3 linked regions of the Bombyx mori genome follow. The protein of the gene in region 3 purifies or fractionates together with the protein of the main gene of each other region. This does not show direct contact. Links are inferred from orthologs where the notes say so. Each region holds a gene or a part of one and is shown on either strand. Other genes may lie near its edges.

Region 1 (4,077 bases), on a different chromosome or scaffold from region 3:
GAAAATGCAAAAAAAATGTGTCAGGTAGTTTAATGTACAATATAAAATTATAAAAAGTTGTGCTTAGCAATAATTTATTGATTATTAAAACAATAAAAGTAACAATGCTTTAGCAAGTAATGTAACTGATTGTATTAAACTTTCTACAGCAATATAATATCAATGAAATTTTGTATTAAAGCATAATCAATGTTTATGAAGACTGATGTATTCTAGTCACTATTGTGGGCGTTTGTACTCAATAAACATATTTTACAGGAAAATCAATTTACTAATTTTAATCACTACACACTAAATCACAGCCGAGTCTCATGAAGTGTCTTTAGACGGGCCCTGCTCGGAGTTGGGTGATGTTTGTTTTAGTTCCGCATCTAATCTCTCCTTCGCTCTTACGATTTTCGATTGCAAATAAAACGAACCTCCTTTCGATTTGTCGTTTACGGCGAAAAGGTGTTCATAATTTTTACTAATTTTCTCGGGGTCTACTTTTTCTATATTTAATATTTGCATTGCTTCTTCTAAAGTCAACCCTGTGGAAGCATTGGCAGCAGCTCTCCGCGCTCCTTCGGGTCCACCGCCAGCCCTCTTCGCTGCCTCTTGGGATGCAGCTATTTCTTGTTTCAAGGCGCGTGCGAATGCTCGACCTACAACCTGAGCGCCCAAAACTATTATCTGAGCTATGTATTTAGCCATGTTTCATTATCAACCGTCTTATACAAGTTTTTGTCATTACGAAATAACCACAAAATAAATAGATTAACCGTCAATAGTGACTGACGGAAATACAGTGAAAACGCTTTTTTCAATGTTCTTCTCCAAATGACAAAGGGAATGTAGTCCATAAGCTTTAAGATTGTTGATTTTTTTCCCTTATTTGTACGCTGAAAAAAGATTCATTGCTGAATAAAATTAAAGCCATTTTTTTTATTTAATGTGCAGAGACATAGTTACAGCATATTTTTAAAATACAAAATTAAATCATATTTTAAATAATTGTCAAAATTGACCAAACTGTTAAGAAATATATGGTCCTCCGCCTTAAGCTTCTTCTTCTTCTTCTGTTTGATTTTGGCTCGCTCGGCTTGCGTATTTGCCACAAAGCAAAATAAACGCTTGGGAAACTAAGTAATCAAAAAATTTTTAACTGATTCGCATGGGAGAGATTAGGAAAGTTAGAGAATATATGAAGATACATATAAAATAAGATTAACGCCTTAAGCTTCATAAACTGGCTTAAAAGACTTTGTTTCCAAGTCAGTAAAATTTATAAAAAAAAAGGTTCATAAACATAACCTACGTTTTTTTGTAACTGTAACCGCCTTATTTGTTTTGTACATTTTATTAGTTTATAGTCTTTAATTAATTTGTTTAAACTATTGTTTGTGATTGTGTGATCGTTTAATTGCTTACTTTAAACAAAATGGTAAGTATTTGAATAAATAAATAAAACAATTCTCCATTTGTTTACAAACTACGAACTCGTGTCTTTATGTTTTGTTGGACGGTTAAATTTGAGGGGATTGGGTTCTGTAGGTGATGAGGGGCTATTTAAAAACACAACTGCTTCATTATAATTATATTGCAGATAGCTTGAACACTTTTACAGCATTATAAACTTATTTACTTTATATTTTTTTTATAAAACTATTACATGTTTCTCTTGCCGTGTCTAGATGAGAAGTATTGACATTTTCTTACGAGAATACAATCATCTGTTTTTTTTAAACATTTAAAATAATTCTAATATTCGAAATCTGTAATCATGTGTCAAGTGTTGCCTGCCATTACATTTATATACAAACTCCAACATGTTTAATAAAACCCAAATTAATTTATTTCAAACCTTGCAAATTTTAAACGCTGTGATTTCGTTACCCATATATATTAAAAAAACAATTTCTTTCACAAATTGAACTGTTCTGTCCTACAATTATCTATACTTCTATACATTATAAAGAGGAAATATTTGTTTGTTTGTCTGTATTGAATAAGCTCCGAAACTACTGAACCGATTTGAAAAATTTTTTCACTGTTTGGAAGCTAGACTATTCCCGAGTGACATAGGCATAATCTTTTTTTGAAAAAAATTTGGGATCCTTACTAAAACTCTAATAATGTAACCGAAGGTGTAAAAAATTACCTAAAATATTCTTTACATCGCGTGCCCTGCGAAAACTATTGATGATAGAATAAAATAATGTACTACGACTTTGTAGAACACATTATTATTTACAAAAAGCGTCGCGATAGCATATGTCTAACTATTATAGTTATGCCGTAATAAGTGTTCTTTTATTTAAAAAAATAAAACAACTTCAAATACTGTTGAATTTTTGGTTAAAGACCCGAGCTGAGCCGGAGCGGGCCGCTAGTTAGAAATGATTATAAAGTGCTGAGTTCATACAGTATTTCATTTACGATAAATCTAAATTGGATAGGTATGTTCATTAAATGTAACAATTTCTAATATCTTTCGTATTGTAAGCCCTGACAGGTAGGTAATCTTACTTTACCATGGGCTCCAGTAACCACTGAACATCTGGTGGGCCGTGACTCTTAATTGCATTGATGACTTGTATGAATGGTATTTAAATACCCAGTTTAACAATACAGTACAATTGTGTTTTTTAGGAGTACAGTCCTGTAATAGCCATGTTCAACATTTGAATGAATATTTATGTTCCAGAGTTCTCCAATCCCAGACACACCTTCAGACCGCGAAGGAGCTCAATCACGAATGACATCACCAGCAAGAGAATATGAAATGTTTGAAGATGAGGGGGCTATACTCGGTGATAATCCTCTTGAGGAAGAAGAAGATGGAGAGGAACTTTTCAATGATAATATGGAAGCGTATGTATTTTGTAACTTAACTTTGTACACCATAACATTATGCATCCATAGATAATTCACAATTGAAATTTATTCAAAGAGACGTTTTTTAACATATCATTTTATAGCCTTGTGTTTCAAAAATGTTTACTCTTTCAAAGCAAGATTACAATTCATTGTGATTATCACAAAAAGTATAAAAACAGCAATTTCTTGAAAAAATCTAACACCATATAAATTACAATTAATTTTATTCATTATTTAGACAGATGAGCCAGTTCATGACCCACCTGGTGTTAAGTGGTTATGGATATCACTATGTGGATGTAGCCACTCACCTTTAGATGATATAAGTATTCCAGGAGTCAGACTGCGGTGCAGACTTCAAGACTGTATAAATTGTATTCAAATTCAACTATTAAGAACCAGCAATCAAACAGTAAATTATTTTCAAATATCAAATACTGCCAACACAACACTTATGAGAATAATTTTATTAATATATCCATTATTGTTTTTGAAGACTAAAAATTCGTATTTTTTTATTCCAGTGATTATCGTCCTATGCCCGCGCTGGATCGCTATGATAATGAAGACCTTGATGATGATGAATACGATGCAATGTCCATTCGAGACCGTGTGGCAGTTGAACAGGAGCTCCGAAGAAGAGATAGAGATGAAGGAAGAATAAGACGTGATGATCGTGATCTGTTGTACGGTGAGATTATCATAGCATAATGACTCAATATTAAAAGATCCAATTGCATTAATTGTCCAGTCAATAAAAAAAAATCGATTCAAAATTATTTGATAATTCAATTCAATTTCTTTTCTAATGGTGGTCCTTTTTGATTTCGCGAAAATCCAGTATTATAGAGTCTGTGATTTTGGTTGTGCCCAGATGTCTTTTGGTGTGGTTTGGACTCTTGTTTGTTGGGTGGGAGTTACTTGATAACAAAACACAAAACTACAAAGGGGTACGAGACAAGAACAAGTACATTCAGAATCAGAATAAATAAATAATAGTTAAAAAAAAAACAAAAAAATACGCTTTTATACAAAATCCAACTAAGAATAAAAAATAAAAATTAATAAATTTGAATTATAAATAGGTAGTGTAAGAAAAAAAGATTTTATTGTAAAAAAAAAAAGCGCTGTTCGGAATATTATCAAAATAACCCTTCTAGTTATATCTGTTCATAAAATTTTGATTACTATTGTTACCATGCACCCTATGCTTTTTTT
Region 2 (4,265 bases), on a different chromosome or scaffold from region 3:
AAAATAATGCCATAATTAAATTAGTTTAGTTCATATAAATACCATAAATGGCACGCTAAGAAGGTTGATACGAAAAAAAAGTGTATTCTCTGAATTTGATACGTGCATCGCGTAGAGTCTAGCGTACTAACCGCGGCTCAAATTTGAAATGCGAGTAAGCGTACCGTCGTTAATAGGAGTGGGTGATATAAATCGTATATAGATTCAATATCTATATATCGCAGCAATATCGTTGAATCCGATATCGCCCCGCACAAAATCTATATATCGATATCAGCCGATACACGATATTGCTCGATGTGATGCGCATCGCCATATCGGACCGATTCGTGAATCGAAATCTATATTTCGATATCAGCCGATACACGATATTGCTCGATGTGATGCGCATCGGCATATCGTACCGATTCGTTAATATCAGCAATATTCGTTTGGTTCGTATCGAATCGGCCAGAGTGAGTGAGCGCACGATATCATGTGATGAATGAAACAGAAACAGGCATTATCCATACAATTGTAAACCTTATATTTAAGTCCATATGTCTGTAGATTATTCTTAGCGTATCAGCAGGATACAATTAAGGAAAGAAGTTTCAACTTTCGACCCTAACTTGAATGCAGTATAGCCTATTTGCATCGTTGAATTTAATTTCACGCGCTTTGACCTTGAACTAGAATTTTTGGACAAGTGTTTATAAATACTTAAAAGTTTTTTGTGTTTGATTTTTAAAGTACACATTTTTCTATTTTTAGTTGAATCCAAATAATTGAGTTTATTTCTTGTGTTTGTATTAAACTTTTGAAATCTACACTCTTTTGGTATATTTTGTAATTTTAAATTAAGACACAAAATACTAAAAACTGAAAATAATGTAGCCAGTCCTAAGCCTGGTAAAAGCATGAAGGAAAGTTTTTTTGATATTTTTATTTTCATGTTATTTTTATTACTTTAAGATCATATTATAAATTGATATCAGAAAACCAACCGTATAACGTTGACTTAAATCTATATCTACTACGATATTATATCAGCGTATCGTTTCAAATCTCAAATATCATGAATCGAGAAAATCTACTAGCATACATCAATATATCATCATCAGCATCATCATGCTTTCCTATTACCCTCTGCTGGGGTGTAGGGCTCGAATCAAATTTTTCCATTTGTATCGGTCTTGGGCAGTCTGTTCTAGCTCCTCCCACGTCATGCCCAAGACCCCTAGCTCCTGCTCCACCGAGCGACGCCAAGTTGTTCTGGGGTATTCCATCAATATATAGATTCAGAAAATATATAGATTCAATATCCGATATTGATCCTCGATATATAGATACGATTCGATACGCGGCAAAACCGATATTACCCACTCCTAGTCGTTAATACGTCATATTGTACTGGGTACTTGTGATTCGGTGTGATAACAGTGACGTCGCTTGATAAGATCCACGGGACGAACACGTCGAAGCCAAATCAGGTAAGCGTCGACAGTCGGTGAGAGATATCTACCCGTAGTCGACTGCGTCGGTTGTTCTAGATAAACAAATGGAATACTGTGATATGCAGTGTATAAAGTCGATAAAATTGTGATCTAGTGAAGTGCTTGTAAAATTACAGTGATGAAGGTTGATGCCGTTACAATTTGTACTGGCCGATGTGGGAATTGCAGTATTAAAAATGGTACGAGAAGTAAATAAATTGAAAGCTACAAAGCGGTTGTGTTTTATATCTTTATCGATCTCAATCTAGCGAATTTAAGATTTAATAACCTCTGACGCTCTTCAATTGATACTCTGCTCATGTACAATTGTGAAGTGAAACAGACAGAATATATAATCTTTCAATTGCAGAAAAAGTTATAAACTTAATGTTTATTTTTGTTAAAAAATCCCTAATGAAACAAAAGTTTAAACGTAGAATTAGTAAAAGTAAAATTAAACATGAAATAATTTTGTTATCTTTGTTTGAGACGAACTAAGTGTTAGTTTTACCATTATTTTGTGAAGCCTATTTTGTGCTTTTAAATAAAATGTAAATAACGTGAGCTACATCGGTACTTAAAAAATATGTCATTCTTAAACTAAAAAGTAATAAGCGTAAGACTGTCATCATCATCATAGTCGGTTGTTCTTTGCAGAGCACTCATGATCATGTGGAATTCGTTTTTATTGAAGCCGAATAACAGATTTTCTCCATAGTTTTATAGTTCCATAGTAAGACAGATAGTACGGTTCACGTCTTAAATACTAATTACACGCAAATTTTTTTGTTCATTAAAATAACACCGCCAATTTTAAAATGTACTCAAGTGGTAAATTACAACAGTTCACTCTACCGAAACATCACAAATAAAACATAAAACAGCAAAACTTTTAGTAATAATGAATTTGTGGCTACCAAAATGGGGTTTATCGCGACATCATATAGGTAACAGTTTAAAGAAAGGTACCGTTTGATAATTTATGATCTACTGGAGTTGCTAGGATTACTAAGACGATATTAAATTGTTGTAAATTGTAATGTATCCATTTTTAACGTTATTCATCGAATTTACATACATTGCATGTAATAATAACCCACTGAGTATCTAGTAGGATCTTCTCAATGATTCGCGATTCCGATCCGGTGGTAATTCTGCGAAGCACTGTTCTTGCTAGAGCCAGTGTTAGCACACTTGCTGAACTTGAACCCAGTAAACTCACCAACTACCTACATAGTGTTGCTGGAATATTTCCTTAGGCTACCAAAATGTTTATAAAGTAGTTATTTATTTATAACAAGGCACGGCGATAGTATTTCCTGTGTTTTTTTTTACAAAAAAAAAAACAAAAATGTTTATCCGGTTCGACCCGGTGTTTCAAGGTAGCATCTGATTATGATGTCAACGGACTTGACGTTTATCAAAAATTCCTTGGAAACAGCGGCTAATTTACGTCAAACGAAAATGCATCGTAATGCTGTAAATAAACGGTTTTATTGTCGCAGGTACAATAATGGAAACTGACGAAGACTCGCGACGGACCAACATGCTGGATGACCTGCCTCCGATTAGTTGTGACAGCAACTTCGAGGATTCCGCCGGGAGTGGGTCCAACGAGATCGGCGATATGACATTCTGCATGGGAAATTACATCAGTGAGTTCATGAAGGTAAGTTATAAACATTTTCTGAACTGTGAACCTAAAGGAAATAGTATGTGGCGGTAGCCATCATATAACTCAAGATATCTGCCTGAATCTCGCTTGCGACATTTTCAAGCTTGCATAAATGAGGCCGTCAGCGCGAAAGTGGCCTAAGCTTACTATAGTTAGTATGGAGGCAACTAGGTTTGAATTTTCATGAATTTAAATTTGAGTAGACAAAAAGACCATACGCGTAAAAATGATGTTTACAAAGCTATCTATTATCTATGGGTGAAACTATGGATAGGCCGGTTTTGCATCAAAATTTATTAAATTTTAAATAAATTCCAATATATGTATATGTATATATATATAAGCTTGAATATAAAAAATTGTGGGTTAGGCCACTTTTGCGCTGACGGCCTCAAATACAAGTTCCGAACTACAACATTCAGACCATCGGTCTACCGGGCAATCTCACCCGCTCGGTGCAAGATCTTTCCTTTCGTCGTTATACCCACAACTAGCGGCGGTACCCGCCTGCGAGATTCGAACACCGGTGCATCGCTCGATACGAATGCACCGGGCGTCTTATCCTTTAGGCCACGACGACTTCTACAACGTAAATGCCGTCACCTACCTTGAGATATGAGTTCAAGGTGTCAGCACAGCTACAACGGCTGACTCACCCTTCAAACAAAAACGCATTACTGCTTCACGGTAGAAATAGGCAGTATGGTGGTACCTACCCGTACGGACTCAAAAGAGGTTCTATAACCAGTAGTAACCAGTAGATGTTAACCACTCACCATAAGGTAGGCCGTATGCGCGTCTGCTACAAGGCCAATAAAAAAAAAGTACTCTACGACTCTCGCTTCTACGGTGCATCACAGGATTTATAACTGATAATTTTCCACTGTTTAGTGTTTGATGCGATTTATCTAATTTCTATCACGCTTTTATTAGCTTGATATGTATGTGTACATTCCTTTGTATGTAACGGAATCTTTCAATGTCGTCAACACGTCTGATTAATAAATAAAAATTTTACACGCATCAAGACCCGATAACAATACAATTATTTTATGGCTTATTTCTTCTTCGGCTTCGTTTCAATATCCTGACGAGTGGCAATAGGATTAAATCGG
Region 3 (4,011 bases):
AAAGATAGAAGTCACTTTTATGTTAAGTCAATTACACATGAGATTGAAACTTTAAAACGCTCTCCTGTAAGCCATCATTTTTGACATGACCCTTTGTATGTAGGAGCAGTCGATTTATGGCTATGAGTTTTTACTTTTTGGGTGTGATAGATACTATGGCTGGTCGGATACTTCCATTCATATTCTAAACTTTAGATAAATTTTATTAGTACTAATGGTAGATTACTAGGTTTTTCAAGACTGCATTGATATGGATGGTGATAACCATTTTGATTATTGTCTACCAAAAAGTAGTAATGACATCAAGGTTGAAGGGTGTGACAGCTACAACAAAATACAAATAAGGCTGAGTGTTAGCAATCACATTGTAGTCCATGAGCTCCAGTAACCACTTAACACAAAGTAGACAGTGATTTTGTACGAGCAAAAAAAATATGCAATTCAATTAGCTAGATACCTTGATCAACACTATTTGAAAGTAATGGATTGCAATGTTCCAATTTTTGTACATGAACAGCATGCAATCGTGGTACTAAGCTTGGTGGAGGATTATGAGTTATAATTTCGACACTACTCTCAATCTGGAGCTCTATCATAGAATCCTTATCTTCCTTGAATTCGCCTGATAGGGATGGATCTACAGAAAGAAATCCAATGACTTCTATCATGTCATTGAGCTTGAGATTTTCATTGTCACTGTAAATCTGAAAACAATTTATTATTTAGTTTCATAACCAAAGCTTTTCATTTATTAACTACTACTGCTATGTGGATGGAAACAATATTATTGGATTTTCTTATACCTTAACAATGCAAGATTTGCTAGGTACATCAGGTAGAGGATAATTTAACAAATGTTCTCTTGAAACCACATCAGGTGTATTATCTTTGTGATCTAAAATCTTCATTTCCTTATTCACAGCTTCATTATCAACTTCCATTTCATCCAAATTATCTTCTGTATCATCGTAGCTTCTTTTTAACTTTGTACTTGGGTGAAGCCTTTTGGAAGTATTTGGTGGTTCTTCTAAATGTTTCAAATAGTTTTGTTTATCTTCTAGTTGTTGGACCCAGTCATTTAACCCAGGTATAGACACAACAACTAAAGTCTGTCGCTGACCACTGATTAGGTTCTCAGAATAGTTAATTTTCTCATTTTCCTGAAACATTTTATATTGATTTAATTTACTATAATAATGAATGTTGTAAATAAATTCTGCCCTTTATAAGAGGGGAAAGGAAGATTTTCTTGTAAATGCACATGAAGCCCAATTAATAGATTTCATTTCATATCATAACATAATGTTTGTCAAACATTAACAGAAATATCAACATGTTATATTTTTGTTTAAAAGTACATGCACACAATTTATATAGTGATTTTAGTCAACGTTTATTTTTAATATTTTTTATACGCACACTTAGCTATATCTTAAGCATTTAGGTATATTAAGCATATGGTTGCATGAACAGCTTTGATCTTAGTAATTCTTCCATTTTGGTTTTATTTTTAATGCTTTACATAAAAAGGATCTTACAAGCACTATCTCAGTTCTTCCAGGAAGTTAATATTAGAAATATTACAAACTTAATAACTTAGTTAATAGTTAGTTAAAAGTTAATAATACTTTTTAGCACTAAATGGGAATGAGGTGTAAGCTCCTGACATTGTATTGTCAATCAGCAACTATCTTGTTTCATCAGTTCCTCTGAGAAGTGTGGCTTATTTTGGAATTAGTGGTAGATATTTAAATAATTAAATTGATTATTTTAACTGATCCTGAAACTAGCTTTAGAGATGCCAATAATTCATGGTGATAGTCTATCATGCATATGTCTGTTGCGAAGAGGCTCTTGCTCTAGGAGAAAGTTGTGACTTTGACCGTACATATTCAACAAGTGAAAAAGTTAATTTGAATGGGCAGCATTTCAGTAGTAAATTTAAAAAAATCATTATAATTAACAATTTTTGTGGTTTCATTCTCTTTCTTCCTGTATCCAAGTATTCGGATTTTCGGAAACAATGACAGGGAATATTCGCGGTGTATATTTTTTTGCAGACTTCTTAATGTTCGGTCCTTACCAAAACATGTGCAGTATCTCTGTATTTTCCACTTTTAACCTTTACTTCATTTGTTGTTGTGTTAAATACTTCAAATTTCTCAAAGTAAAATTCAGGGTTGTGCATGTCTTGGATCATGCCTCTGAACCGCACTAAGTTTCCGTCTGTTAAATTATGTGAAGCATTTGAATTAATTAGTGGGATCTGTAAGGTCAAATAAAGGACAAGTTAATAAATTTTACAAAAATGATTTCTGTTTTATGATAAATTCCGTACCTGGTACCAATTTGGTAATTTCATCAACTTGCTCTTCATTATTTTTTCATTCTCAATCCATCGATCCGGCGTCGTTGTTTCGATATCGCTCATGATATTTTCATGCATGATTAGAAAATTTATTCATTAATACTATTATCGTGTGTTATGTTTTGGTTGTTATACAATAAACTGAATCAGAATTTATTAAAGTTCAGTCTCATCAATGATACCGCACCGTATTGCACTTCTTTTTTTGTGGTTTTTGTTAACTTTACTTTACTCTTTGAAACATACTGAATTTTATTAATTAGTGAAAAATCTATGTTAAGGGTTTTGAGTTGTACGATATTGAACATGTATGTATTACTTAGATATTGTAATAACTTTGTTATTTAATGTACGGTACGGTACGATAATGAAAGTGAAAATTTTGAAATTATGCAAATTTTTTACAGAGAATCACTTGGTTTATTTATTATCTATGACTTGGTAAAATACCTACTCGACGTTTTGGCGGGAACGCTAGGAGTGAAGTTGTGTGATTTGTTTTATTTTGTATATTTAGTGTTTCTTCAGGTTTAAATGTGGAATAACGGTGGTTTATTAACTGTTTAATATCTGCAAAAGTGCACAAGGGTGGGAAAATGAAATAAAGCCGCTGGACGTAACTTCTCGGGATCCTCCAAAAAGTCCGCTGAAAAAATCTCAGTAAATGACCACTATTTTACTGAGATTATATTTCATCCCATATCATCTCGTTTCATTTAATTTCATTCCAGTTGATTAATCTCCCAAATTAATCATTTTCATTTACTTGACTTAAAGATCTTAGTTACCAGGTCATAAAACTCCATAAATAATACCTACTCTCCATAGATAATACCTTAGATATTTTTTTTTGTACAAATTTTCCTTATTTGGAAAGGCAAGGGGATCTAAGCCCATACAGCCTATATACCATAGATACTTGATAAGTATTGGAAGACTCTCGGTACAGGTAGACAGTAAATGTAGATCTTTGATTATTTTAATTTAATTAAAAACAGTGCTACAATACTTTAACGTTCTCACAAACTCTAGCTCTCAATGCTAAAATACTAGCCCATTCCCAATCTCTGTGGGTATACACCAAGGCTCGGCTCTGAGTACTTTTTTGTTCAGTGTACTACTAGACTAACTAGACGACGGAACCGACGGAACGATAAAGATAGATGACGAACTTGTCGTAAAGACAAGTAAATTCAAGTACTTAGAGTTTGTGTTTCACGAGTTCGAGTAACGAGCGTCCTGTGCAACCGCAGGGTTCCGGTAAAGCTAAAAGGCTTCGTGTACAAGTACATCATTCGACCAGTCCTATTCTATGGCAGCGAATCATGGCCGGCCTTCGTAAGACATGTTTCGAAACTGCACGTTACTGTAATGAAGCTGCTGCGGTTGATGTGTGGCGTTACACGACTAGATCACATTCCTAACGACTACATCAACGGCAGCGTTGGAGTTCATAACGTAGCAGATGAGCTGCACGAAATTCATCTACGATAGTACGGCCATATAAACCATAGGACCCCAGACTACGTCGGAAATAGATACCTCAACTTCTATGTACCAGGTTCAAGATCCCGCGGTAGGCCCAAGAAATGCTGGTTGGATGTGGCAAAAGCAGATTGGAGGAGAATAACCTCGCCCAGAAG

Evidence for each region.
Region 1: the proteins of uncharacterized protein LOC100286771 (region 3) and DNA replication licensing factor Mcm2 purify together in Homo sapiens (co-immunoprecipitation; 6 studies listed by BioGRID and IntAct, with this or other methods). This does not show direct contact. The link is inferred for Bombyx mori from reciprocal best matches to the Homo sapiens genes MCMBP and MCM2.
Region 2: the proteins of uncharacterized protein LOC100286771 (region 3) and kelch-like ECH-associated protein 1B purify together in Homo sapiens (affinity purification with mass spectrometry; 3 studies listed by BioGRID and IntAct, with this or other methods). This does not show direct contact. The link is inferred for Bombyx mori from reciprocal best matches to the Homo sapiens genes MCMBP and KEAP1.

The regions. Positions count from the first base shown.
Region 1 is NC_085113.1:10,833,263-10,837,339, forward strand, and holds the start of DNA replication licensing factor Mcm2, read left to right. Parts: upstream 1-1,266; 5' UTR 1,267-1,420; coding exon 1,421-1,423; intron 1,424-2,686; coding exon 2,687-2,853; intron 2,854-3,383; coding exon 3,384-3,550; intron 3,551-4,077. Other genes in the region: mitochondria-associated granulocyte macrophage CSF signaling molecule, read right to left, coding at 310-693. UniProt on the Homo sapiens protein: Acts as a component of the MCM2-7 complex (MCM complex) which is the replicative helicase essential for 'once per cell cycle' DNA replication initiation and elongation in eukaryotic cells.
Region 2 is NC_085128.1:13,280,804-13,285,068, reverse strand, and holds the start of kelch-like ECH-associated protein 1B, read left to right. Parts: upstream 1-1,454; 5' UTR 1,455-1,614; coding exon 1,615-1,675; intron 1,676-2,980; coding exon 2,981-3,144; intron 3,145-4,265. UniProt on the Homo sapiens protein: Substrate-specific adapter of a BCR (BTB-CUL3-RBX1) E3 ubiquitin ligase complex that regulates the response to oxidative stress by targeting NFE2L2/NRF2 for ubiquitination.
Region 3 is NC_085117.1:15,219,701-15,223,711, reverse strand, and holds the start of uncharacterized protein LOC100286771, read right to left. Parts: upstream 2,804-4,011; 5' UTR 2,447-2,803; coding exon 2,339-2,446; intron 2,267-2,338; coding exon 2,084-2,266; intron 1,161-2,083; coding exon 804-1,160; intron 705-803; coding exon 458-704; intron 1-457. UniProt on the Homo sapiens protein: Associated component of the MCM complex that acts as a regulator of DNA replication.